4 linked regions of the Arabidopsis thaliana genome follow. The protein of the gene in region 2 purifies or fractionates together with the protein of the main gene of each other region. This does not show direct contact. Each region holds a gene or a part of one and is shown on either strand. Other genes may lie near its edges. The genes, in order: MEE5, EMB2765, ATRPAC42 and AT2G18900.

What was found.
Region 1: the proteins of EMB2765 (region 2) and MEE5 fractionate together in Arabidopsis thaliana (co-fractionation; one large-scale study listed by BioGRID). This does not show direct contact.
Region 3: the proteins of EMB2765 (region 2) and ATRPAC42 fractionate together in Arabidopsis thaliana (co-fractionation; one large-scale study listed by BioGRID). This does not show direct contact.
Region 4: the proteins of EMB2765 (region 2) and AT2G18900 fractionate together in Arabidopsis thaliana (co-fractionation; one large-scale study listed by BioGRID). This does not show direct contact.

The regions. Positions count from the first base shown.
Region 1 is NC_003070.9:1,898,237-1,905,427, reverse strand, and holds MEE5 (Ribosomal protein S5/Elongation factor G/III/V family protein), read right to left. Parts: upstream 5,478-7,191; 5' UTR 5,321-5,477; intron 5,196-5,320; exon of another isoform or gene 5,132-5,195; 5' UTR 4,999-5,131; intron 4,917-4,998; 5' UTR 4,905-4,916; coding exon 4,164-4,904; intron 4,078-4,163; coding exon 4,009-4,077; intron 3,905-4,008; coding exon 2,711-3,904; intron 2,600-2,710; coding exon 2,501-2,599; intron 2,388-2,500; coding exon 2,229-2,387; intron 2,113-2,228; coding exon 2,027-2,112; intron 1,943-2,026; coding exon 1,744-1,942; intron 1,666-1,743; coding exon 1,555-1,665; intron 1,464-1,554; coding exon 1,257-1,463; intron 944-1,256; coding exon 845-943; 3' UTR 531-844; downstream 1-530. Other genes in the region: AT1G06210 (ENTH/VHS/GAT family protein), read right to left, coding at 6,442-6,825, 7,006-7,191. UniProt on the Arabidopsis thaliana protein: Splicing factor involved in pre-mRNA splicing and component of the spliceosome. Essential for reproduction. In female gametophyte, is necessary for the egg cell and central cell fate determination and hence reproductive success.
Region 2 is NC_003071.7:16,204,401-16,212,405, forward strand, and holds the start of EMB2765 (P-loop containing nucleoside triphosphate hydrolases superfamily protein), read right to left. Parts: upstream 6,029-8,005; 5' UTR 5,854-6,028; coding exon 5,437-5,853; intron 5,358-5,436; coding exon 5,268-5,357; intron 5,067-5,267; coding exon 5,004-5,066; intron 4,759-5,003; coding exon 4,672-4,758; intron 4,583-4,671; coding exon 4,430-4,582; intron 4,338-4,429; coding exon 4,201-4,337; intron 4,007-4,200; coding exon 3,772-4,006; intron 3,596-3,771; coding exon 3,485-3,595; intron 2,992-3,484; coding exon 1,933-2,991; intron 1,845-1,932; coding exon 1,587-1,844; intron 1,102-1,586; coding exon 916-1,101; intron 810-915; coding exon 1-809. Other genes in the region: AT2G38780 (cytochrome C oxidase subunit), read left to right, coding at 6,452-6,902, 7,111-7,445, 7,813-7,965.
Region 3 is NC_003070.9:22,397,394-22,402,152, forward strand, and holds ATRPAC42 (DNA-directed RNA polymerase family protein), read right to left. Parts: upstream 3,021-4,759; 5' UTR 2,892-3,020; exon of another isoform or gene 2,775-2,891; 5' UTR 2,763-2,774; coding exon 2,628-2,762; intron 2,327-2,627; coding exon 2,138-2,326; intron 2,056-2,137; coding exon 1,926-2,055; intron 1,839-1,925; coding exon 1,758-1,838; intron 1,667-1,757; coding exon 1,479-1,666; intron 1,381-1,478; coding exon 1,285-1,380; coding exon of another isoform or gene 1,195-1,284; exon of another isoform or gene 1,172-1,194; coding exon 1,078-1,171; intron 993-1,077; coding exon 876-992; intron 783-875; coding exon 685-782; 3' UTR 520-684; downstream 1-519. Other genes in the region: AGD2 (ARF-GAP domain 2), read right to left, coding at 3,851-3,965, 4,043-4,488, 4,627-4,717.
Region 4 is NC_003071.7:8,187,724-8,194,173, reverse strand, and holds AT2G18900 (Transducin/WD40 repeat-like superfamily protein), read left to right. Parts: upstream 1-1,637; 5' UTR 1,638-1,764; coding exon 1,765-1,884; intron 1,885-1,960; coding exon 1,961-2,146; intron 2,147-2,233; coding exon 2,234-2,422; intron 2,423-2,523; coding exon 2,524-2,929; intron 2,930-3,064; coding exon 3,065-3,183; intron 3,184-3,279; coding exon 3,280-3,357; intron 3,358-3,496; coding exon 3,497-3,637; intron 3,638-3,730; coding exon 3,731-3,775; intron 3,776-3,858; coding exon 3,859-4,025; intron 4,026-4,203; coding exon 4,204-4,282; intron 4,283-4,368; coding exon 4,369-4,445; intron 4,446-4,541; coding exon 4,542-4,671; intron 4,672-4,756; coding exon 4,757-4,889; intron 4,890-4,972; coding exon 4,973-5,139; intron 5,140-5,224; coding exon 5,225-5,387; intron 5,388-5,468; coding exon 5,469-5,683; 3' UTR 5,684-5,937; downstream 5,938-6,450. Other genes in the region: AT2G18910 (hydroxyproline-rich glycoprotein family protein), read left to right, coding at 43-286, 579-676, 1,105-1,158.

The sequences.
Region 1 (7,191 bases), on a different chromosome or scaffold from region 2:
CGTTTGGTTGATGGAGCCAAATGGATATAACCAATGAAGATAAGGCATGACGTTTTCAGAGTTGGCAATGCACATAAAATAAGGTGGAGGAGACCAATCTAAAACCTTAAACGATGTATATATTAATCCACCAGGGCCTTAACTATATATTTTGTAGCTTTATTCTATGTATAATAAGTATAAGTGGTTGCCGCCACGTCCACTTCGATTTGTAAAGAGCACGTCAACGTAAAAAGCTGATTATGGAAGCATGAAATAGACGAAAATAGTAAAGCACAACAAATCTTTGAGACAAGTAGTGACGTTTGACGAATTAACCGATTTTCATTGGAGTAAAATAAGTCGTCTGTGTGCACTAAATTAAATTATGAAGAAAAACTTACTTATATCTAGATAGGTTTGTGCCATTGACCTGGTTTATCTTTAAATTTAGCATTTTTGAAGAATCAAATCTTAGTTATGCAGAAAACTCTTTGCGGAAATAGGATCTGGATCGTACGTTCTCTGTATCATATGTATAATTACTAATCATATAGACAACAAACTATGAGATCATCTTATAAATGATAGTGTCATAACCTAGTTCAGTTTCCCATAATCCAATAGTAGTTTACAATTTTACAAAAATTTGTGAACATTTCCTGTCAACTATTTGCGAGTCATGTGTGAGTGTGACCATGTGGACTGTTGAGTTCATTAAAATCTCTCAACTTACAACGTAAATTTGACACATCAATTACAAAACTGATCCACATTTTCTTGTTCTCCTTTCACATATATAGAGAAGAGAAGATACTACTACTAGTCCTGAATCACGATTTATATGAAAAAAGTGCAGAGATCATCAAATCATCTGCAGATGGAGATCGCCTGTTTGCTGGGCAAGCTCTACCATCATCGCTTCATCAAAGAATTTATTTCCGCTGACGTCTTCGCTCATTCCCTGCATAACCAACAAATTATACATATCGTGAGAGTCTGAAACTGATGATCCAAACACCCAACGAGTCATACAATATAACTAGCCTAGGATGTATCCAGCAAATTATAGCTGGTGTTACTTGGTTAAAGAGTAATTAGCAAGGGCCGGGTTTGTAAACAGTAGTTTCGGGGATCCTTTGGTTTGTGAGGGTTTACTGGGGTCATTTAACCAAACACTAGAGTAACAAATCAGTTTATGGTTTCATTCGTATCTTTAACCGCATGAAACCCACTAAGTTTTGGGATGTGCATTGAAACAAAGGAAATCATAATACCTTTCTACGGCGGGTCTTGACCATGAATTCCCGAGCTAGATGCTGAATAGGAGCGGGCTCAAGTGGGCGCAACTGGATGGCTTTGTCTAGAGGGTCTCCTGGCACAATGGCCCAGTGATCAAACACAGATAGGCAAAAGGCTTGTCCCTGAGTGTGGTACCTCAGATCTGTCTCAAACCCAAAGGACTCTATCACAGGCAGAAAGGCCTGCATCAACACCAAAGAATATACTCAATGAATCATCACTTAGTCAAATAACAGGAACAAAGTAAGGAGAAAAGACACAAACAAAACTAACCTTCACGATATAAGCTGGAGTACCGGGTTGAGGAACATCAGATGTGACATGCCCACGTCTACGTGACAAAACTGTGTAGATTGCAGTTACACAGTCGATTGGTGTTTGTATCTGCGACAAAACCATAACTCTTAGTTATCATTTTAAGAGAAAAAATGTGACGAGCAAAAATGGAAAGGGATTATGTACCTCCACATAGTAGACAGGTTCCATTAGCCTTGGAGTTGCCATTAGAAAAGCTGAATATGCAACACGTCTTGCTGTTGGAATCATCTGACCAGATCCTCTATGCAATGGCTCTGGTGCTATCCGTGCATCAACAATCTTGAACTTTACATTTCTGATGGGCTCATCACAGAGGGGACCTTCACGAGCACCCCACTGGAACCTGCAAGAGGAATAAAACGAAGCCACTTAGCTAAAGCCAACAAAATCGAGTAAAAGAAAAGTGTAACAGAAGAAAGATGATTACCCTTGAACAATGGAGTCTTTCACTGCCATCATCAAGTTCCTGTCCACCTCAGTTGGAAGGGTGTCATCCAATAATATGTTTGGCCCCTGATCAGTCGAAAATCAACAATCAATGAAATTGTCAAAACAGACATAAACCAACCATAACAATAAAGATAAAGTAAACCCCAGATTGCAGTGTTTTAAGAATACAAGCATTTCACCTGTTTGTCAGGGCCAAAAGCCCAGATGGAACGTGCAGCAAGTAAATCCCAGTCATATTTCGTCCTGAAGAAGTCACCAAGTTGTTTTCTGTTCCAGTCAATGCTTACAACGCCATTCTCAATGTCCTCTGCAAGTCCTCTATCCAATGGCTCTGCAATCTTTAGCATGAAACAGATATCAGATTTTTCACAAAGTAATTGTGCTTGAGCACCATACCAAACATCGCAGTCTAATATATAAGAGATAATAGTGGAAAAAGAAGATCTCTTACCATAGTTATTTTGTTCTTTTTGTTTGGTGTCTCAGCAAAACACTTCATCGACGAAGATTCAACCACTGTCTCACAGAAGGAGACCACCGGATCTGCAACCTACAAATTTAAGAAAGCAAAAGGATCTTAGCTATCAAACAGCCAAATCAGCAATTTGCTTGCACACCGGAATCACAGTCATAGAGCCAAATTAGAGATACAATTAGATACCTTTACTTCGACCTCTGAATAGAGCTCCCTGAGGTCCTTCATGATTGAATCCAAGTACAACTCACCTGTGCCTAGAATAGTATGTTCCCCAGACTCCTCAACTTTGGTAATCGCAAGGGGATAGCTTTTGCTAATTTTCCTAAGCCCTTCCACCATTTTAGGCAGCTCACTAGGATTCAAAGGCTCAGTTGCAGTCTTGACTACTGGGAGGGTATTAAATTGGAGAGCCCGGAATATGTAGACATCTTCATCATAGCTTGCATTACACAGAGTCGCAGTTTTCATGATGGATGCATCGACACCTTCAATTAAAACCCAGGAACCGGGAGGGGCACTGCTTACTGGTATTCTATACCTAGCTTGATATATCCATAGCTTCGTCACTTCTTTTATAGTCATGTCCTCCTCATCCTCAGGTGAATACCCTTCTCCTAGTACACGTACGCTTTGCCCTGTTTGAAGCCTACCACTATAAACTCTTCCAAACACATCAAAAACACTAGTATCTGATTTGGGGTACAACTTTGTCACATTAACCATGAGAGGTCCAGATGGATCACATTCTACCATTGATTCATAAATGGGGGAATCTTTGGTTCCGGTATATGAATGGTCGACCTTCCTAGCTGCAGCCTCTCTGGGTGAAGGAATGTGCTTTACCAACATATCAGTGAACCCTGATGCCGAACCAAACACTGAACTACAGGCTAACCTAAGTAGAGGTCTGACGTTCAGCTTATATGCACTATTACTCAGAGTCACTCCTAATTCTGCAAGGGTGGTCTCTACACTCTTCTTATGTTCACCTATCACTTGGCTGTATATCTTGTATAGGGGCTCCAGAATAAACTGAACAAATGCTCTTTCTCCACCACCTACTGGAGGACTTCTCTTGAATACCCTAGTATCAGAGTGATAATATACATCTCCCCAAAGTCGAGATGCAAACTTATCCACGTCCATGGCCACACCATGAAGCTTGGCATACATTTTAGCAAAAGATTGTAATGTGAAGGACCATCCGGCTGTACCACTGGCAAAACATACATTTCCAGCTGCAGGGTCTATAAGAGGTAAGTCTCCAGCAGTTGTTGAAGCAGCAGATATGTGGTTATTAATGACTTCAATTGTATGCCTCAGCTTGTAGTAAGCATCCCTTGGAGGTAGTTTGAGCTCAGTTATGAGCCTGTCAACCTGTTGGGGGAAAAAAATTGACAAAAAGCAAAGGTCAAGCAAATGTATGGAAATATAAAATTTCACACAGTATCTCTTAAGTTACACGTTGAAGCATGAAGTACCTTATTGATAACAACTACAATAGGGAGATGGTCCTGGATTGCATGCCGTATAGCTCTCTCTGTGTTAACCTGAAAAAAGATTATTAGCGTCAGTACAAATAGTATACTTCAAAAAATTAAAAATACAGACCAAAAAAGAGAGAGTAAAGACTTACCATCACTCCTTCAGCAGCATCAACAATCAGAACAGCACCATCAGCAAGTCTTAAAGAAGCAGTCATTTCGTCAGAGAAATTGACATGTCCAGGGGTATCCATGATATTGCACAGGTATGATTTGGATCTACTGTCCTCAAGGACAAGAGACATTGGAACCGCCTTGATTGATATATTTCTCTCCTGCTCATCGACTCGTGTGTCTGTATATTTCATATGCTTCTCGTTTTTAGCATTAAAAGTAGACATATGATGCGTCTGCTCTACCAACATATCCATGAAGACAGTTTTGCCGTGCTGTAGATGCCCCACAAGAGCAACATTCCTCACAAGCGCAGGATTAGACATGAGGCCGATAAGAAACTGTGTTGACACATACGTTGCTTGATCTTTGACCCCCACCTCAAATCTAATATCTCTAACAGGTTTGATAATGGGTTGCTCAAGAGGCTGCTCATCTTCATCCATAACCAAGGTCTCAACATCCTCACCATAAACCTCCTCAGCAGTAGGGTAGTACTTCTTATCCTCAGGAAGAACAATTTGGTTCTCCATCTCAACATCATTGATAGTGGTAATCCAGCCATTAGAACCCCCAGGCCCTTGTTCGCCATCGGAACCATTTTCTTCAAGATGCTTATCTTGGAGATCTTCATCTTCTACTTCATCATCACTATCTCTGTCAGACTCAATCTCAGGTCCAACATAGTTACCAAACTCATCATACAAGCTACTTTCCATCTTTATGTAAACCTGTCAAAAAAGAATCCCATGAGCAATCAGGATTTTGTAGCAGATAAACAATAACGGCAAAAAAGTCAAATGAGTGCATTACCACAAAATCAAGCTTTTGATAGATCTATCTGGGTTATTTACTATAGCAATTCTGCAACATATTTTATTTAACCCATTGGCGAGTAATCTCCTCTAATGCTCAACACCAAGTCCAAGAGAACACCATGAAAAAGCTAGAATCAACCAGAAACTTAAGGTAATTAGACTAGAGCAAAACCCTAGGAGAGAATCGAGCAGAAGCTTATGCTAAGTTGGACTAAAGAAAAACAACAAGGCGAGAGTCGAGCAGAAGCGTTGGAGTAGAGCAATAACCTAGGGTAGAATCAACAAGCTGAACAAAGTTAAGGAGTGAGAAGACGAACCGGTGGGGAGAGAGAGCGAGAGGCGTTGCGATAGCTAGAGGAAAATGCGAGTTGGCTCGGCAATAGGGTTTGTCGCCACTGAGACTGTTATCGCCGGAACAAGGGAATGAAAAATTTAGATTTAGGTTTTGATTGGAAGACTCTACGTCGGACAGAGAGTTTTAGTCGGTATATATTGATTAAATTATAGTAATTGAAATCTATTTGTAACGATGTGGGATATGTTGATGGGTCGGGTCCAATTATATGTCAATCGGCCCAATTTAGAAAAAATTGAAACGTCTAAACCAGAACGTAAACCGGGTTCACTATGTTTACTGCAGAAAAAATTCAGTAAAAGTTTTAAAAGATGTTTGCGTTTTGCGATGGATGAAGCAAAATTAGTCGTATGTCACTTAGGAGTTCATTTTAGATTGAAAGCTGCGATTTGAAGAAGATAGTAAGCATAACAAGATGGTTATAATGATTACATGAAGACAGTTCTTTACTCAAGTGTAGTGGGAAGTATCATATACTCTTCAATCGGTACAAGCCCTTATTTGGCTTTGTTGGTGACAGGGGTAAACTTTTGGAATATCACTGTGAAGCATCGTCCAAGAGACAGTGAGAAGTATCGTATAGACATATACTCTACAATCGGTACAAGACCTAATTTGGGTTCTCTAGTTGGTGATAAGGGTAAACTTTTGAAATATCCCTGTGTAGCATCGTCCAAGAGACCAAGACTCCGATTATTATTTGACTTGAGAAGACTAAACACATTAAACACATTAAAGGTTAGACTTCGTTTTATCATTTCGAGCGAGTTTATCGGAGAGTGAGGTGAATTTTATCAAGCCATTTATATAATCCAGAGGAGATGTAGATACTCACCTCTCAACACATAAGCAATAGGCTAAGTGCAAACCAAAACACCTCGTATAAATGTTTCGGGTGAAGATTCACCTACGGTTTAACAATGTCTAAGAAACCACTTTAAAACAGAAAGTGAGAAACGAAGCTAAAAAGGTTCCACACTTATAATGGAAGTACATTGTTATAATTTAAAAGTAAACCATCAAGAACAACTCTTCGCAACATTCTGATATCCATGTCGGAAGAAGACAACAAACACAGACTGCTTATTTTTCATCTTCATCACTCGAAAGCCCCAGTTCTATTTTCACGGCCTGCTTCTCTTCTTTGACGGTTTTGTTGGAGGATCCTGATGCTTCTGAATGTTTTTTGTCATCATCAGCACCCGTTTTCTTTACAGGCTCTTGTTCTTCTTGTTCTGTTGGTTTCGGACCAGTATCTTTGCTTCCTGATGATTCTTGTTCCACAATGGAGGCTTTCTTTTCGGTTTCATCAGGCTTCTTGTAACTAGATAAAACTTGTTGGAGCTCATCATTCAGATGCAGAGCCTCGAACAGGACTCCCTCGTCGTCTGTTGTACTCTCTATGATCATTTGAATCAATGGCTGCGATTGCTTGCATTTCTCCATCAGGCTAACCGTTAGATCGTCCTGTAACCATAATATATATAAACCTATTACTTATCACTGTCCTGTCAATTTCACTTTAAGCACATATATCCAAGGAAACAATAATGTAAACCAGGAGATACTCATAACTCAATCCATATTCCATAGACATTTGTTAAGGAAAATGACAAAAGTTAGATGAGCAGACAACGTAGCAACTACCTCTGTGTGATTTGGCTTTCCTTCAGTATTCAACATGCTAGAGAGCAATTCGAGGCTGTTCCGTGTAATCTCAATCTGTTCTTTCTTATCCTTTATCGATAAGTTCCCAAAGTTATAGTCAAGACCATCATCGTCCCCAAGAGCCTGTTCTTGATTAGGAACCGGATAGCTACCAGGTGGAGGCAC
Region 2 (8,005 bases):
GGCCTGGCTCTTCCTTGAGCATTGAGCTCAATATAAGGAATACCAAGACGAACAAACCTCGTAAACAAACTCTGATCCATGTGACTATATTTCTGGAAAGCCATATTCTTCACCACGGGAGGCAGCTGGTGGTGATCACCAATCAATATACAGCGCTTGAGTCGTGCATGACCATCTTCTTGCCTCTGAAGCAGCATTGGTATGAAAGTCTCAATTTCCAAAATCTGAGCACTTTCTTCCATCAATAAGTTATCATATTTGAACCCTAACTGAAGAAAATCTCTCCTCTTTAATGCAGCATGAGTACACGTCATTGCTACAATCTTTGCTTGTTTGGTCATCAGATAATTTGCTCTATCAGCAGTTGACTTGAGTAGTTCAAAGGCCCTACACTCTTCTAGCTCTTGGAACACAGTCTTGAGATGAGAGAAACAACCTTTAGCTGCCCTCATGTCTTTCTCAAATGACTCCCCATTAAAAACAGGTTTAGGGGTGTCTGAGAAGAAATCTTTGAACGGGAAGCGATCTCGCACAAAAGATTGATTGTCTTCATTTCCTGCACAAGCTGCGAGAAACAGCTCCCAACGCGAGTATACATGAAGCAACCAGAAATATCCAGCTGTTTCACAAGTATATCCTACATCCTCTGGAAGCTGAAGAGATCTTGCTAGTCTCTCAACCTCACTGAGGAGTTCCAGACGCCGAACAAGCATGGCATTGACACGGCCTTGTCTGCTAAAGTCAAGATCAGTGGCAAGCTCTTGTTCACCTTGACCCAAACGAAGTAGATACCGCGCTGGTACATCCCTCTGAAAAAAGATCCATGTAGCATTTGACTCTCAGAACTCCGTCAAACATAAAACATTAAATATGACTCCATATAAATAACAAAAGCAACGAAGATGCCAATAGTACCTCCATTATCTTCTCAAAAAGATCATTCAAAGCCTGATTTGAATGAGTGATTATCAATGTCCTCTGAGAAGGACAGTTGTGGTATAGAACATTCAAAATTTGCACTGCTGTATCAGTCTTTCCGGTACCTGGTGGACCAACCACCATAGTTAGCCCAGGCTGAATACCAGAGATAATTGCTCCAACCTGCAGGAAAATAGTAGGCATGGACATGGTTTAGTTACAACTTGCAACAATGATCCATATTTTGAATCCATACCAAATGTTTTGGTATATTTTCTCATTCTCATCCAAACCACCATGAGGGAGAAAGTGATTTGAACATTAGGTAAAACTTTCTTCAAATAAAACAGAATGATGTGGGAACAGTATTGACCACTCAAATCGATCAATGACCAAATGATTTACGTTACGATGGAAATAACAGGTGCAAAATTTTACATGGGTTATAAGTGTCAGGTACCCAACACAATAAGGCGACATAAAGATGATGAATAGTATTCTCGTATGACATAACTCTTCTGTAAAAGTAGGAAGGATTCTAAGATAATAAATTTGTCATCTTCCAAAACAAATAGCAAGAATGACGAAAAGTTGACAAGTATAGCACAGCACAATTATATAAAAACCAAATCAGCATACTGCACTTAGGATGTAGAAATAAGTAGTACCTGTGTAGGTGTAAATTTAACTGAGTTCTGCTTCGGCTGGTCCTGAGGATAAGGCCCTGGGTCAGGTGGGGTATATGCCTCAACAATAAGTTTCTCCTTCGGGGAAGCATCCACCATATTAACATTATCTGCTGGATTCACTTCAGATATCTTGTTTCCAGAAATAGCACCATTTCCTTTTAGTGTCTTTGGAAGAGTGATTCGAAACGGAGGACTTGGATCCAGAGCTTCAGCACCTTCAGCATTGATGAAAGAAACCTAATATGCACAAATTATTAGAGACATGGAAAGGAACTAGTTCTAGTCTTCTAGATCACATCATATACAAAAGAATATAGGTACTAACCTCATAATCTGAAAAACTTTCACTGAGATGATTTGCATTAAGGAAAGTGTCTTTGAAGTCCACTATTTCCAACAGGTTTGGCATATTAGGCCACTGTGCAGCAGAAGGGTTGCCATACCCAAGAAAAACATTATGCAACCACTCCGGCACAATACAATATTCGTTCATAAGATCTCTGATAGATTCCAGAATAGCCTTGAAGTTGTTCTCTTTTGGTTTCCTCCTCATTAGCACATTAAATGTGCCATACACATCCTCAGCACCTTTTTCAGCGATGTCTGTAACATCTATATGATACTGTGCAGCATCTAAAGCGACAGTCACAGTCCTCATTTCACCTTTTGGGGGCTTCCATTCATCCCGTTTAACTCTTCCAGTAAAATCATTCATCAGATTACCCTCCTCATCGCGGATATCGATGATTTCACAACCACGAACATACTGAAGCCCGAGCCTCTGTGGAACTGTAGCTTTATCAGCTTCCTCAGGACCTAATGGCTCAAATGAAGGGCGTATACAAAGCAAAAACAACACGTCATGCTCTTTAAGGGAATTCCATTCAGATCTTATCTGCGTTCTGTAACTCTTGATACTGAAAGTAACTTCTGCTGTCACAGATGAAGGCTTCTCTTCTCCAATATTAGGCTGTTTCACCTGAGCGATTTTGAAATCATTAATAGGAACCGCCATTCGTGACCAACCACGAAAAGCAGTGTCTCCCTCGTTATTTATATGTGCAAGAAGATGTGGTACAGCTTCTTGTATATCTTCACGAATCTCATAGGTGGATTCTAGACGGAAGAGGTTGAAGTTTCTAAGGAGATAATCATGGAGTGTTAGAAACTGAAGATTAAGCTTTGGAAGAGCAAGGCAACCTTCCCCAGAATAATTAATGCTTGGAATAACACTTTCGTCCCACATGATTTGCTCATTTGGGTACAAAGGCAGAGCGTTTATTGCTTCTTTCTGAGACTGTTGCTTCTCAAAAGAGGAGACAACGACTTCAGTCAGAAAATCTTTACTATCTGCCCAAGGATCATGTCTTGAAACCAGTTTGAGCTGCACAAAAGCAAATGAAAATGAGAACCAATGTAGGTGGCAAGGTGTATAATTGTTGTACGTGAACTTCTAAGGCAACAAAAGTATATTTTAACGAAAACTAAAATTAGCAACAGCAAGAGGCAAATACAGTTTACATATCTCCTTTCTACTCTCCACAGGCACAAATACATCTCTTCACTGATTTCTCACACTACTCTGCGTACTACTGTAATGGCCTAAAGGGAATTCAAACAAGTAGATACATAACGTCTACATTTGTGTCAACCCATAGATCTTTTAGCATGTCAACTTAGACTTTGTATTCTGATTTTGCTAAGCATTTTGCCAATAATATTCACTGAAAGCTCACAACTATAAGAGCCTTAGCATAATGAAACTGGCAGAAAAGATATGATCATCATAGAATTGCCTCAGCAATATTCCATAATCATATCCTGAATTCCCATGCAGAGTTTGTGAACCTACAAGAATATGCTTTCCAGATATATACCTTTGAGCAGACAACATCCCTTAAATCTTCAAGAGAAAGCACAGACAATCTCCTCCGAAGATCAGAACTCTTGTGAATCGAACCAATGTTAGCCAAAGACAGATCTTGCAACTGAAGCAAACCAGATAAAAACAAATGTGAGAATCTAGAGAAGCGTTTGCCAAAAAATATTAGAAAATAAGGAAGAGAGTAGATCAATGACTTCAAAATCCAATAGTAACATAACAAAAATACCTAGTACACAAAACTACCTATCTATTAATTAACCATGATTACCAGGACAATACCTTAGGTATTTTCTTAAAGGCAAGTAGCTGAAACGCCATAAAACGATCGTAATGAAATTGAAGTGCTTCATCATCAGTTAATTGTGTTCCATCATGATCCTTTATCTCAAACTTTTCGTAGAACTGTAACAAGTCAACTAGTTGGGCGAAAAGCTTCCCTTTTTCATGTTTGTATAGGGCACTCAGTCGACATTTGGCAACAACTGCTATATCCGCCACAAGAGGTCTTAGGTATCTGTAATAATCAAGATGAAGAGATGGAGAAAGGAAAAATTAAGGTCCAGTAAATGAATGGCTCAGAAATGGACAGTGTAGAATGAGGAAGCGTAACAAGACTAAGACCTAGATATTATTAGGAACAAAAAAAAACCCTAGATATTTTAGTCTACAAAAAACTTGCATAGAGGCCCTGGAGGGAAATATTAATACCTTCTTGTTGGAAGTTGGTTCAGCATGTCAATAAGAAATTCCATGAATCTCTCACAATATAAGACAGAAGAATCATCGACCAATTGAGATCCAGCAGTATCATCAACCTCATCCGCAAAAACCCCATGATCAAGCACCTGAACAGAATGTTATGAATTATGCGTAACTATGCGAAAGATATATTTGACGAACATAGACCACTACAACCCAATAAAAACAGGCTATATACCTCAACGAATTCTTCTATTAGGCCTCGAACAAAATTTGCTTCAGGGGATGAGGATAAATCAAATTTCTCTCCCTTTGACTTTGCCTCAGCTGCCCATTTCTTTGATGACCTCTTCCACTTTTTAATTAGATCAGGTTGAAGGCAGAGCTCCATCTACAGTTGTAAAAATCAATGACGATATCAGAGCAACTACAAAATATTTTCACCATCCTTAACAAAATCCATGTGAAGGAAACACCCACCTGGAAACGTCCATAAGACAAGCTGTGCCAAGATTGTAATCCTGCTAGACTTAGAACAATCTCATTAACCACTGCGTCTTCCAAACTCTGTAACATCACACAGTTAAGAATATTGAAGAAAAACAAAATAGCACAAGGATATAATTTGTGTACAAACATGAATAATAAGGTTTTCCACGTGAAACAAACAATTTACTGAGTAGCACACAGCTATATTGTCTGCAATTACTGCTTACTATATCATGTATTAATTTTCTGATCTGAAACAGGCGCAACAGCATTCTAAATACTTACGACCTATTCAAAAGTTACATGCAAGAAACGGAACAAACCTGGAAAGCATTAATCATGAAGACCAAATAGTTTGTCTTCTCAGCAATAGTCAAGTCTCTTCCCTACAATGGTAAGCAAATGATATATAAATATACGATTGGTTTAGCAATGGCTAATTATGATTTATCACTATGCCTCCAAATATATAGCGAAGTCAATTCCAGGCATAAGACAATGTTATAAATCACAGGTACAAACCAAATTATCACAAACAGGAACAACACTAGAATCACAAAAACTAAAACAACAGGTAGAATACAAACCTCTTTAAGGCGAAGAACCTTCTGTAGAAACTTTTTGAATAGATCATCCCGATCATGAAAGCAAATCCAAGCTGCCACATTCTCCCGGAACTACAAAGCATGTAGCAATGTTAAACTCCACTGTTTACAGCTCCAACAGTCCAATACGAAAGAGAGCAAGATTAGTTACCTTCTCGTTAATCATAAGAATCATAGACATAACATGCTCGAACGTAGCAGTCTCAGGATCAAAATTCGGCCATAGATAGTTCTCCAAATACTGACTCACTTCCAGAATCATAACTCGCTGAAGTGGAACAGGTTTACGACCACTAGTTACCTTAAGCTCCGTCACATAAATCTCCTTCACAACCTCCGGATCGAACGGTTTCTCAGGGAGCTTACCTCCAGTCTTAATCCAGCTCTCCTCAGCGATTTTCGTTAACCTATCTTGCTGAATCTCCGATAAAGTGATGGAGCTCGGCAAATTAGATCCAGGCTTTGACTCTAGAGGCTTCTCAGCAGGATGGCTAGGTAACTCCAATGGATACTCCGCCACTCTGTGGCGCTTGAAGTCGTACGTGCCAGTTCCATAGACCTTCGTCATTCTCTCACGCGAAAGCTTCTTGCTCAGAGAGAAGTGAAATCAACACATACAGCAAACGAAGAGGTTCAGAGAAGGGATTTAGAGTGAAGAAGAGTAAGATTTTTAGGGCTTAAGCGGAGGTGAGAGTTTCATCGACGACGTCAAAGATAAAAGGCGGTTACGACCGACTCGACCCGACCCGAGTGATGCTAGTTTAATTACAGCTGGACTTGGGCCGATATTGGGCTAGAAGTATTTTAGTCTGGACTGGAACTAGAAATAATCTTAAGAGTAAAATTAATATAAATAAATAATGGTGAGCAAAAGCCAAGTAAACCGAATCGAACCAAAACTGAATTTCTTATGATTAAAAAACATTAAACAGTAATTTGTACCAAATAAACCAAACTAAAACCAAATTTATGCAATCGGATAACATAAAACTTTACATTCTTTTAAATTAGTATTTTGATTTAAAATAAAACAACTTAAATATGAGTGTGCATAAAAAAAAATTGAACTGAGCCAAAATAAACGAATTCGAATCATAATTGATCAATCTAAACCGAATATAAACCGAATAAAACGAACTGTTTATGCGCTCTAGTGACCAAGACCAATGATGAAATGGATGGGTGGTGATGTTGCATCCACGAGTCCACAAGTCTGTGAAAACATTGCACTCCAAAAATGGCTAACCAGCTCTTCTCTCCACCAAACCATGGCTTCTTTCAACCACTCTTGGCTCTCTTCTCCACTCACCGAAACTCCCGCTTTCTTTTTTTCTCCATCTCAACACCCAAAATCCTTGAAACTCTCACTTTTCCGAACTCGGAGCAACTCGTCCTCACCGGACCGCTCGTCAGAGGTTGAGCTCGATGTGGATCCGGTGAAGCTCGCATTGAAGAAAGCCGAAGCTTATAAGAAATCGAAATCAGAGCAAAAAAAACCAGAGAAAAATGCCGGCGACGAGGAATTGCCGCTCTCTGTTAAGGCTGCTATGCAAAAAGCCAATGATTATAAGAAAAGGAAAGGACTTGGAACTGATGCTGTCGCAAAAGCTAAACCCAGTTCAGTAAAAAATCATCTTTTGCACAAAATTCTTGTAACTGTCTTTGCTTGAGTTTGTAGATCAATGCACTTTTCTAATAGTCTTTAGTACATCATTCATGTGTTTTTCGTGGCCTGTTCCTTGAAAAGATTGGTTTTTGATTAGATTTAGGAGTAAAGCCTTGATTTTTAGCTGTATTAATGGAGAATTGTTCTCATGGGTTTCAGGTAATACAGATCAAAGTTTCGTTAGATTAGCAAATAAGGTTGTTGAAGATAATGATGTTAAGAAGAAAGAATTGAAAGTCTCCAGCATTGATTTCATGGGGCTTGGCTTTGCTGATAAGAAGAGCACGAGGGGGCTTCCAGCGGGACTTGTTCCTGTTGTTGACTATCTTCCTGAAGGAGACTTACCTGAGGTGGAGTTTATTGTTGGTGATAAAACAAGATTTGCGGAGAAAGTAAAGGAGGTTGAGCAAGAAGGAGATGGAAACTCTGATGTGTATAAACCCAAAGTTTCTACATGGGGAGTTTTCCCAAGACCTAGCAACATCTCTAAGACGGTATGTGACTGGCCCATCTAAAGATATGTGTTATGCAACTGGATTAGTTTTTTTCATAAACCCCCAAGAGGGAAGAAGTTGCATGTCCAATGTTGTTAAGTTAGGGTATATAGAGCCACTTACTCCAGATTATTAGAGGTAGGAGTGCCAGAAAGGTTTCATGGGTTTATTATTTAGTTCGCATACCATTTAGTCTACTGTGAAATATGATGCATCAAAAATGATTTGTTGGTTGTATTTTCCACATTTTGGATTGTTGGCTATAACCATCAGCTCTTAACTTCGATGGTTTTGGAGTGTATATTTTCCTGCTGGCATCTATGGTCTCAAGTAATGAGGATTGAGATATATACTTTTCTTGTTTAAGTTTGGTGGTGGAAGGACACTCCGACCGGGGGATTCAGTTGAGACCGCTGAAGAGAGGATTGTGAGAGAAGAAAAGACAAAAAAATTGCTCATAGCCTACAAGGAATCACTCGGACTGAACATTGATCCCAAACTCAAACTTGAGTGTGAGAAGGTACTCCAAATACATTTTTGTTCTTACAACTTTTCTGAGG
Region 3 (4,759 bases), on a different chromosome or scaffold from region 2:
TATATTCCCTTATCATAATCAGTCTTACTATTAGCATAATCAACTGTTTATGTACTGATGTCTTCTAATTAGAAAACTTAAAAAGGTAAAGAAAAAATAGAAAAAGAAAGAGCTCAGTTAAGAGGCCATATCACCAGATAAACTGGAGAAATGCAAAGGACCCAACCTTTACAGAAACCGATTTCATCACAGCTCTATTGCACCAGCCGGGAATCGAACCCGGGTCTGTACCGTGGCAGAGTACTATTCTACCACTAGACCACTGGTGCTACTTGTTTAAATGTTACTTCTTCAGTTATTTATACATAAACTCTCATAGTTCATATTTAATGAGAACATTTTGTATAATCTAATGTGGCAGGGATCTATTCTACCACTGACGCTATTTTAAGTGTTCAATGAAACCAAAAACTACTATTACCAACACACACCTTGATTGGCACAATGTAAGGAATGGCGTCAGTGTTCTAGTGGTAGAATAGTAAAACCAAATTAAACCGAAGCAGATTTCCAAAATTGGTTCAGCTAGGAATTTTGTTATGAATCAGAACTCAGAAGGCTAATGAAAATCCAAATTGAACAACAACCGTATAAATAAATATGTCAATGTTGTTTGTTGGTAATTTATCAATAGGAGGAGAAACATTGATAGACAGACAATTCAAAATTGAACTAAACCAGAACTCAAAAGTCGGTTATAGCTTCACATTTAGCTTCCAATATCTTCACAGCTTCAGTGAAGAGAACCTCTGGAGGCAGTGATCCGGTGGACTCAATGTTAACTGAGAAAAAAGACGACAAGAAACTCAATTACGATATCTTTCAGATCATGAGTAGCAGAGTAAAAGGAATGGGTTTTATTTTTCTCTTCTTACATATAAAATGGTTCTTAACACTGCCAAGATCCACATGGTCTACCAAATCATCGTCTCTTACGCATTCCTTACACAATGTGCACTTACGTGGCTGCGCTACTGTTGCCCTTTTCTTACCTGTTTTCCACAAGTCAGTATGAAATCAAATTTAAGTAAGTCATGCAGCCAAGTTCATCAGCTTGCATAAGATTTTATACTTCACCTTTTCCCATGTCTTCAATGTCGAAAACATTCTGTGGGCAGACGTTTACAAGTCGTTCAGCAAGTTCATCCTCAACTTCCCCACGTAGAACCACCTAAGATAGTATAAACAAAAGCATTACGAAACATATATATTGGGATGAGGAAAGACAAAACAAAGAGCTGTTTCCCATAAAGCATATGATAGATTGATGTATATACTTCTCACCTCAGGATGCATTCTATACCAAGCAGTCCCTACTGGAGACCACTTTGCATGTGTTTTACCAATGCCCTTAACCGCATGAGCTTCGAGCTCGATTTCCTGGGAAAAAAGAGATAAAAGAAGATGCACATGTTTCATCTCTCATTGCAAGTATGGTCTGCTTGGGTGTATATAAAAAGAATGTACAGAAACACTACCTGACCAGGGGCGAGTTTTGCTATCAAGATATCGAGGTCGCATGGAGTGATAGGATTATTAGCAAATTCAGGTAATGAATCTTGGCTGCAACTGAATGAAGTGTAAGTTTTTGGCTTTGAGGTTTTATTTTCCGATTCTCTCAGAAGCTCACTTCCATTTGGTAACCATTTTAAATCACTCGTTAAAACTACAAGAAAACGAAATGATATCTTTCATGAGAGATGGAGCTGATAATAAAACAAGAAATCTTCTGATGCTAACTAATGAACATATATTACCTTTAAGACGTGGTCTATTTTTCGGACATTTCACATGGAGTTTGAATACAATGGTGTTCTTTTCATTCGCCTGATCATGTTCTATCATACACAGATAAAGAAGTAAGCTAATCAGAAGAATTATCATCATATGTAGATGGATCACATACCACTGAAATATATGCTTACCGGATAAATATTCAAAAAGTCTTGGATCTGCGGCAATTGGAATAAGACCCATCCTGTGAGCAAGAACTTCGTCTATAATAACCGATGTGTTGTACGCTATCAACACTTTTTCAATAGCCATTGAAGGAACCTGCAATAAAGAAAGAAGCACTTTAAGCCAAAGATTACAACAATGAGGGATTCATCAGAGGTTGTATGAAAACTTGACAGACCTCAGCTATAAGGATCCTTCGGAATGCATTGGCAAACGCTGCATCAATACCAATCATATCAAATTCCATATCTGTCTTTGTGAGACTAACCACATCAACTTTGAAGTTATCATAGAAGTTTCCTAGCTTCACATTGTCGTCCTCTTCCGTAGAAGAAACATAGGTACCCGAGTAAATGGCACTCGCAGTCTACAGAAAACACAAACACAAGATTAAAGACTTCAAATTTCAAACAATCACTACTCAATATCATCTTGAATTTGAAAACAAAAGGTGTATTCTGGTAAAACACTTAAGAGCCAAACTCGTAAATTCACAGCTTTTCACAGGAAAAAACAAAACTTTTACTCTGTATCATGAACACAGCAACGATAGAACTCAAACCCACATGGGATCATTGAGAAAAGCTATAAAATTTGTAATTAGATAAGCTTATAACCAACAAAACAGAGCATAAAAGATTGTAACTTTGAACGAGAATAGTTCTTACATGAGCAGGAGCGTTGTTTTTAGAGACGACACGAGTTTGCTGGGCTTTGAGATGTGGAGGAAGTCCGGCAGGGACGTCAGGGAGATCGTCTATGTTGAAATTTTTGGCGAATTGTTTTTCTGCTTTAGTCACCATCCTTGTCTAGGTCTATAGCAGAACTAGGGTTTATCAAATTGAGAAAGAGAATTGAAGGGTTTAACAAAGGAAACCACAGGGGGTGAGGAAAGTAGTATTGGGTCAAAGAGTGAAGTCGAAGAAGCTTACCTGTGGCCGAGAGAATTGAGCAATTTAGAGAGAAAGAGAGAGTAGGAGGCGGCGGCGAGGAGATGAAGAACAAACGGTGAAGGGTTTTGAAAAAGCCGCCGGTTTTATTTAATCCCTTAACTCTTTCCGGTTCGAATTAAAACGCATTATTACCAAAAGAAACAATAAAAAATTCATTTCAAAAGAATACTTCTTCTTTTTTTACATTTCAAAAGAATACTGTTTAACACTAAAAATAAAGCCATTACTTTAAAAAATAAAAATTTATTCCACAAGATGAATACTTTCTTTTGCTCATGATTTTGTTTTATAGCAAAAAACAATAATAAGAATTTATTCTTTTTCGGTGAATTGTTTAATTTAAAAAAAAAAAAAAAACTTTTCTGCAATCAATTCGCAGCATATTGGTTAAGCTAAGAATATAAACTAAAAACATATGTAAACAACAATTCTAGGAATGACTCCTTTTGTTTTTGGCATCTACTGTGAATGATAGGCTTTTTTGAACTCTAATTAATATTGGTCAAAAAAAAAATGTCGATGGGACTCTTCTACGTTAGTATCTAAGAATGTGGCAATAGCACTACTTAATTTAGAGCAAAATAATAGAAGAAAACACGACACTTACTTCATCAAATTTTTGTTGGGCAATGAGAATGTTGTCTATAATAAAGTTTCCGGCTACAAAACACATATTTGTATCTCGGATATCAAATACAGAAGAAGAAAAAAAAACTTTGAGGTGCAGGCTTAGAATCTTTGAGATCATCTTATGTATAACATTACAAAGGCTAATACAGTAGGTCGGAATCTTGACATTTCCTAGAGTTCTATCTCCTTCGGGAATTAGGTAAATATTGGAGCATCAATGCGATGAGCAAGTCATGACCAAATACTACAACAGTTACAAGTTACATTCCTTTGCGTAGCAATCAATCAGCAAATGGTATATTGGTAATTTACTGACACTCTGCTAATAGAAGGAAGAGCTCTTCATCGGTTATGGCTCCCATCTCCATTGCCCTTTCCAACACACTTAATCCTCCACCATCCTCTATTGATGGACGAGCACCTCTGTCAAATTCAAAGAAGAGAGACACTAAGTATCTACTCAAAGTGCCCCTCATGAGATTTATTAGTTAGTGTGTTACCTTCTCAGCAAAACCTTTGCAAATGCGTTGTTCCCTGATGCGATGCAATGGTGTAATGGAGTTCGTCCGTGGTAATCTCTCATGTTTATGTCAGCCCCGAACTGCAACAGCAGTTCAAGCAAGATTGGGTCACCGCTTTGACACGCCACATGCAACAATGAGCAGCCTTGAAGACAGTTTCTTGCTTCGTTCGAATTCTTGATTCTCTGACACGCATTTGGATCGTGCCTTTTCTTTACTTCATCTGGTGCATCAACATGGTGGTGGTGATATACATCAAGGTCAGTAATATCATCGAACTTGGTATTGATGATATTTGCATCTGCTTTTACAATGAGTCGGTAGATGTCTCTTATGTTCCTGCTTTGAACCGCTTCCCATATTCTACTTGAGGCAGTAGAATTTGCTTCTCTTTCATCTTTGACAACTAGTGCTTTCTCCAGGTACTAGCTAGGCATAAACATTATCAGCTTTAGTATCATAAGCCTTTTCTATTCACAAGAATATGCTCATTTGGATGATGCGTCAAGTGACATGAATCTGAGGTCTATGTATGCGAAAACTTTAAGAACTAAATCTCATACCTTTCCGTTAATATATTTCTCCTTCAGAGTAAACCAATCTTCTGAAGATGGTTTCGAAACTGATGCAAGTGTGTCTGTCGATCCCTTTTCACTGTAAATATTCAACAGAAGATAGGATCATAGGAAAGTAAAG
Region 4 (6,450 bases), 8.0 Mb from region 2:
AAAACTTTCTCTTTCATTTTCTCTCAATTTAACACTTTCAAGATGCCGATCAACAAAGACCCATCAACACCTCCTCCTGTTATCGGAAAAATCGGTCCTTACACTGTCTTTATGACTCCTCCTGCGACTCCTAAACCACCTGAATCTCCCTCCGCTGTGTCTCAGAAGCCTGTGATGGCACCACCGGTTCTTCCTCCGCCGCAGCAGTTTAAATCGGTGGCTTCTTCTGACCAGGACGGCTCAGTTTTGGGGTTCTTTAAAAACGCCGTCACAAAGGTTCAAAATGGTGAGAAATCTGATAAACAATTAACTGATTTTCAGCTCAAAGTTTCCTCATTTTTAGATCTTGAATTTGAGATTGATTTTTCCGATACCCTTTGATTGATTGATTAGGAAATTGAACTCAAAAATGATATAAATCGTTGTAAAGTTTCTATCTTTGTGAAGTGATTGGAAAGTACTAATGTTACATGAATTCTAGCTTTTCATACTGTTTATGTGATTTGGTCCTAAAAGCAATTAGATTGTGAATTTGACATTCATGTTGTGTGTGTGTGTTCTAATCCATTTGACTACAGCACATTCAAGTGTGGATGATCATTTGGTGAGGTGGTTTGGGTTAAACCAATCTAAGTATCAGTGGGCTTTGGATGAGTACTACGAAAGCAAAGAATCAGTAAGTTTTTTTTTGAGTCTCTATATGTTTCCTTTGAGTCTCTATATGTTTAGTTTCTTGTTCTTGCGGGTCCTGTATCGTTCTTTGTACTAGTTTCTATCGATAATCGATTCCTTTAGTCCGATTGATTCATCAGCTTTTTGTTTCATGTACATTTTGCGTAAGCTTAGAAGTAAAGCTAGTTTAAGTGTTTTTTTGCTCTTTGCTTCTAGGCTAATGAACATAACAATATACAACCAATGAAATTGATACAACATATTTGAAGCTTGATATTCACTCAATATCAGTTGTAAAAATTGTTCATTGGTATTTGGTAGTCAAAAATGTCATTGATTGGTTTTAGAGTTACTACTCTCTTTAGTCATTGATTTGCTTATGTTCCTCAAGTAAATCTTGTAGTTAACACATATCTTTTGAATCGAACGCAGGATATGAAGACCGTGAAAGCAAAGGAGATGCCGGGGAAAGTACAGAGTGTATAAGCAACCATGTATAAACTCATTTCCCCTTTGGCCAATTCTAAAATCTGTTTTTCTGAGAGAGTTCAAAAAAGCTTGAGTCTTGAGGAAAGTTCTCTTCAGATGATATTTAATCTTAGAGATTTCTTTTGGTATATTTCAAAACCTATGTAGTAGCTCTTTCTAGTTTCATCTAACAATGGTGAAATCTCCAAAGCAAAATGGAGAGATGTCATTGGTCATTTGGTTTGTTGTAAGTTTAATCACATTATTTACTTTTTAATTGTATCGTTATAATCTATATATTGTCTCAATTCAAAAAAGTTTGCTCAGTGTTTTTCTTTTGATTGTTGTCATACATGAAAACTTTTGCTAGATACCTCTCAAAACTTCAATAATTATCTTCATCAAACCTAACAAGGCCCATTACAAAGGCCCAAAAACATTATTGTTTAATATTTTCCGATTAAATAAATAGATAAAAACTGAAATGTAATTGAGCAGAAAAAAAAACAAAAGAGACGAAGAAGGGTTTAAGTTAGGGCTTTTGAAGTAAACCAATTTTGTGCGTCTCCCTTTTCTTCTTCTCTTCCCAATTTCACCGCCTCTCTCTATCGCCGGAAATTAACCATGAAACGCGGCGGAAGAAGCTACGTAACTTCACCTCCATCATTCTCCAACGACGCTAAAAAGCTTCTCGTCTGCACAGGAAACACTGTCTCTGTTTTCAGCGCCGCCACTGGCTTACAGGTACCAAAAATTTAATTCTTCTTCGATTTTGTTAGGGTTTCTATTCGAATCATTGATTGATACATTTCTGTTTTAGATTACTTCGCTTGAAGGTCATACAGCTCCAGTAACAACTCTAATTGTTGTTCCTGCATCAAGTCCTGCTCAAAAAATCCTTTGTTATTGTTGGACTGCTTCTCTTGATGGTACTATTCGTCATTGGGATTTCTCTGGACCTGAGCTATTGAAAACTATTGATGCTCAGCTTCCGATTTACTCTATGGTGAGTATAAAAAAAGTTTGATACTTTGATTAGGTTTTGTGAGTGTTTTGTTTGATGAAATGAATCTATGTGTTTTGTGTGTTTTAGGTTATACCATCTCTTTTGAGCGAACCTCAACAAATTGATAAACGTCGTGAGTTGTCTGGTAAGTTGGTTGCTTATGTTTCCGTTGAGGATATAAGTGTGGTTAACCAAGGGTCTAAAGAGTTGCGTGGACATATCCGAAGATTTAACCTCGCTAAGTCGCGTATTCCTCGTGGAGATACTTTAAAAGAGGTTAGTTTTTTTAATGGACTTATTTGAAAGAGGTTTGTCTTTAATGTTGTCTTGAAGTTGAATTGTGTAAGCTCAAGTTATTTGCTTATTTCTTTGTGTAGACGGCAGAACCAGAATCTATTGTTATTAGTCCCTCGGGAGAATTTTTCGGAATCCGTCACAAGTGTAAAATTCATATATGGGATGTTCCTTCTGGAGGATCAAGGCATGCGGTTTCAAGGAAGATGACATTACATCACACAAAGGTTATCAATGCTTTTGCTTTTCATCCCACGGAGAGAGTTATAGCTGCTGGAGATGTAACTGGAAGAGTGTTGATTTGGAGAGGATTTGGTAATAGAAAACTTGCCTTGGGTAATCAAAAGAAAAAAGTGAGAGCCATGGTTGATTTGGACAATGCTGGAGTGAGAGGTGAAGATGATGCTGAATCTTGCACTACATGGCACTGGCATTCTGCTGAAGTTAATGTCCTTAATTTCTCTTCCGATGGAGCATATTTGTATTCAGGTGCGGCCGAGTTATATTCTGATATCCATTGGATTTATGAACCGACATAGACTAATAGGTCATGAGCAAATTTACTGTTTGAAAGTAATGTCCTGACTTCTTACTCCATATTGCGTCTGTTTTCTGACTCTTTAGGGGGAAGGGAAGGGGTACTTGTCGTTTGGCAGCTAGACACAGGGAAAAAGAAATTCTTACCAAGGATAGGATCCCCCTTGCTGTATTTCATGTGGTCTCCAGATCCAACTCTTTCTTCTGTAAGTCGGAGCTTACTCTTTCATTCTAATCTAACACACAACTGCTGAAAGCAAAAGGGAATGTTTTACTGATTTGACTACGAATGAGAGCTGCAGGTGGTTTGTGCAGATAATCAGATCCATTTGCTTAAAATGCCTTCCATGGAGATCTTAAGGACCATTTCTGGAATCAAGGTTCGTCTTGGAAACTTAATAATTAAGGACCTGTAATCATTCTCGTCAGTTTTGTCAACGATTCTAGGATTCTAGAAACTCTCGCAACCGCTTTACCTTTTTCTTGGTGTTTACTTCAATGTGTGTTATTTTGTTACAGCCTCCCCCATCATTGCCTAGGATGTATGAAGGCTTGGCTAGTACTGTTGCCTTTGATCGATCTTCTGGCATAGCTGCTTTGTGCACAGAGAATTATTGTGTACAGCTATATAATCTTCTCAATGACCGGGGAATTTCAGAGGTTAGAATTTGGCTCCAATATATCCTTAAGAAACTCTATGCCACTTTCTCCTGTCTATGAAATCTCTAACTTCTTTAATCAATGCTTTTGCAGATTCAAGTTTGTGAGAGAAACCATCAACCAGGAGATGAGATCACAGTAAGTACATTTCCTTGCTGTTTATTTGATAGTATATCTAAGATTATTTTCGTTTGGGTGATAATTTGAGTAAACGGTAATAGGTTGTGGTGACAGCGGTTGCTCTCTCCCTGGATGGCTCAGTGATGAGTACAACCGAGGTGAAACTTCCGGAAGATGGAATAGGAGGCTTAGTGTCCCTCAAGTTTTGGGCGTCTGAACCAGACAGCAAAACTTTCACCTTATCCACAATCGTATATGAACCTCATAGGTTAATATTTCACCCTCTGCTAATGGATAAAGCTTTATTTTTCACCATTACCCAATTTTCTTGTCATGTTTTATTTCTTGTAAACCTTGCAAACATAGATTTCAATTTCTCTTATTTAGTCTACAAACTGTTATATCCTTTGCAGAGAGTAAATTTTATTTTCCTGTATATCTTACAGGGATGCCGGTGTCTCAGCCATTGTGTTCCACCCTACCCGCTCCATGGCAGTGAGTACATCATTCGGTGGTGACTTCAAGGTAGTTCTTAAACTGATTTTACATTTTTCTCTCTGTGTTTTTTGTTTGTTATTATTGTCTTACTGATATCACTTTTGCTGTTTCAGATTTGGGTATGCAACAGTGACAAGAACCAGACGGATAAAGACTCTAGCTGGATATGTCACGCTGTTGGCTCTTATAAGTAATAGCTTCTCTACGCGCTAGGAAATTTCAACATTCACAAATTATTCGCCTTGGCGATCAAATTTATATTCTCTTGCCTTTGAATATTTTCCAGGAAGAAACCAATGACTGCTGCTGCTTTCTCTGGGGATGGCACTGTTATGGCTGTTGCGGCTGAGAATGTTATTACACTGTGGAATCCAGATAAGAACATTCTCTTGTCTGTTCTAGGATCGACACTCACGGTAAAACCTATGAAGTTATCCCTAAAAAAGCTGGAACCTTTTTCCATAAAGACCAATGTTTAAACCTCTCTATATATTATTACAGCCTATCACGAAGCTCTGTTTCGCTGGAAAGTCTGAGTTCCTTGTTGCTGCATCCCATATTCCAAGACCTGAACTATCTGTTTGGAATACATCAAAGTTATCTTTATCATGGTCATATGGGTTACGCATAGAAGGTCAGTATTATAATGCTTCTTTGATTTCCCCATGAAAACTCTTGCTGTGGTTTACTTAGAAAATGCTTGTTCTCGTTCTATAGCTGTCACCTCTGCAGTGGATTCGTCAGCATTTGCAGTCTTGGCTGTGATCCCAAAAACTTTTAAAACAGATGAATCTAAGGAGAACATCTTCCGTGGTAGAGATGGTGCCATTCTTTTGTTTAACGGATCAGATCCCAAGCCGGTATCTATATGGACTGTGATGAAGGTATGACATAAGAAATAGCCCGTTAGTATTTAACCTTGGAGAGACAGGAAAGAATCCAACGAGTTAAACAATGTCTAAATTGCAGGCTAGGGGAGGATCAATCTCATTTTTAGAAGGAGATAAGTCTCAGCTTCGCCTTGCATATGTAAATGGAAGCCATGAATATGTTGTCTTTGATCCCAATAGTGATGAGTCACATGAGCGTAGCGCTGTTGACTACGATGGTCTTGCTGGTCTGGAAGAGACAGGTAGTTAAAACTTAAAACATATTTGAAAGAACCTTTGTTGATTATACCATGTTACTAATCGAAAAAGTCTCAACCTTTTAGGAGACGCCGGGTACACATCCTTATACGGGCAGTTACCTGATTATGACAAGAAGAGAATGGAGGATGTTGAGTCGTTGGGAACACCGTTTGTATCATCAGAAAGACCGTGGGAAACAATATTCAGCGGCTCCACACTAAATTTCCCGCCACTTCAGAAATTATGTGCTGAGTTCTTTGAGTCCCTAATGGAGAAAAGAACGGCCGTTGTGGAATGAGACCTTACACAAAAAGTTTTTTGTAAGGTTTATTATACAGAAGAAGAGCTCATTTTTGCAGCCATCTTTGGTGAGCAAAGTTGTTGAGTTTGTTCAGGAAATTTTGTAGCTCTTTGTTGTGAGATTCGGTCCAGTTTATTTATGTTGTTGCTACTCAAAAAATACAGGATTCTAACCAATTGTGCCATGTTTGACCCAAAAACGAAATGAAATATCACGACCTGCCTTTTTTTTTTTCGTTTCTAAAATACGGCATGCATTTATATATTTTAATGCAAATTGTTCTTGAAATCATAATGAGATTTATTATACTGAGGGTGCTTCGTTTTTAAATTTGAAAAATGTTCATGAAATCGTTATATATCCTTAGTGGAAATAAGCAAAATAATTTGGGGACTTTTTACTTTTGCTAATAGATTCTCAATAATTGTGAAACGAGTCAGGTGCTCCTAACCCACCAAAAGAAATTATTCCAAAATCCAAATATTTCAACTAACACCTTGCATTATTTTATTTGAACTTTGCTTGATAACATTTTGCATTATTAAGTTGGAAAATGGGAATACAAATAGATATTTCATATTTCGTGATTCGAGGTTCATCTATTATATATTTAGCTCTTTTGGTGGTCCAATATGTTGAGCAAATTATTCTTTAAGTACATGAAAAAGGTAATTGCTTTGGGGACACTTACCTTTTTATTTTTATTTCCACATGCATGTAGGACAATAGTTTGCAAGGTTTGTGTTACGTCTTCGAAAAGCTTT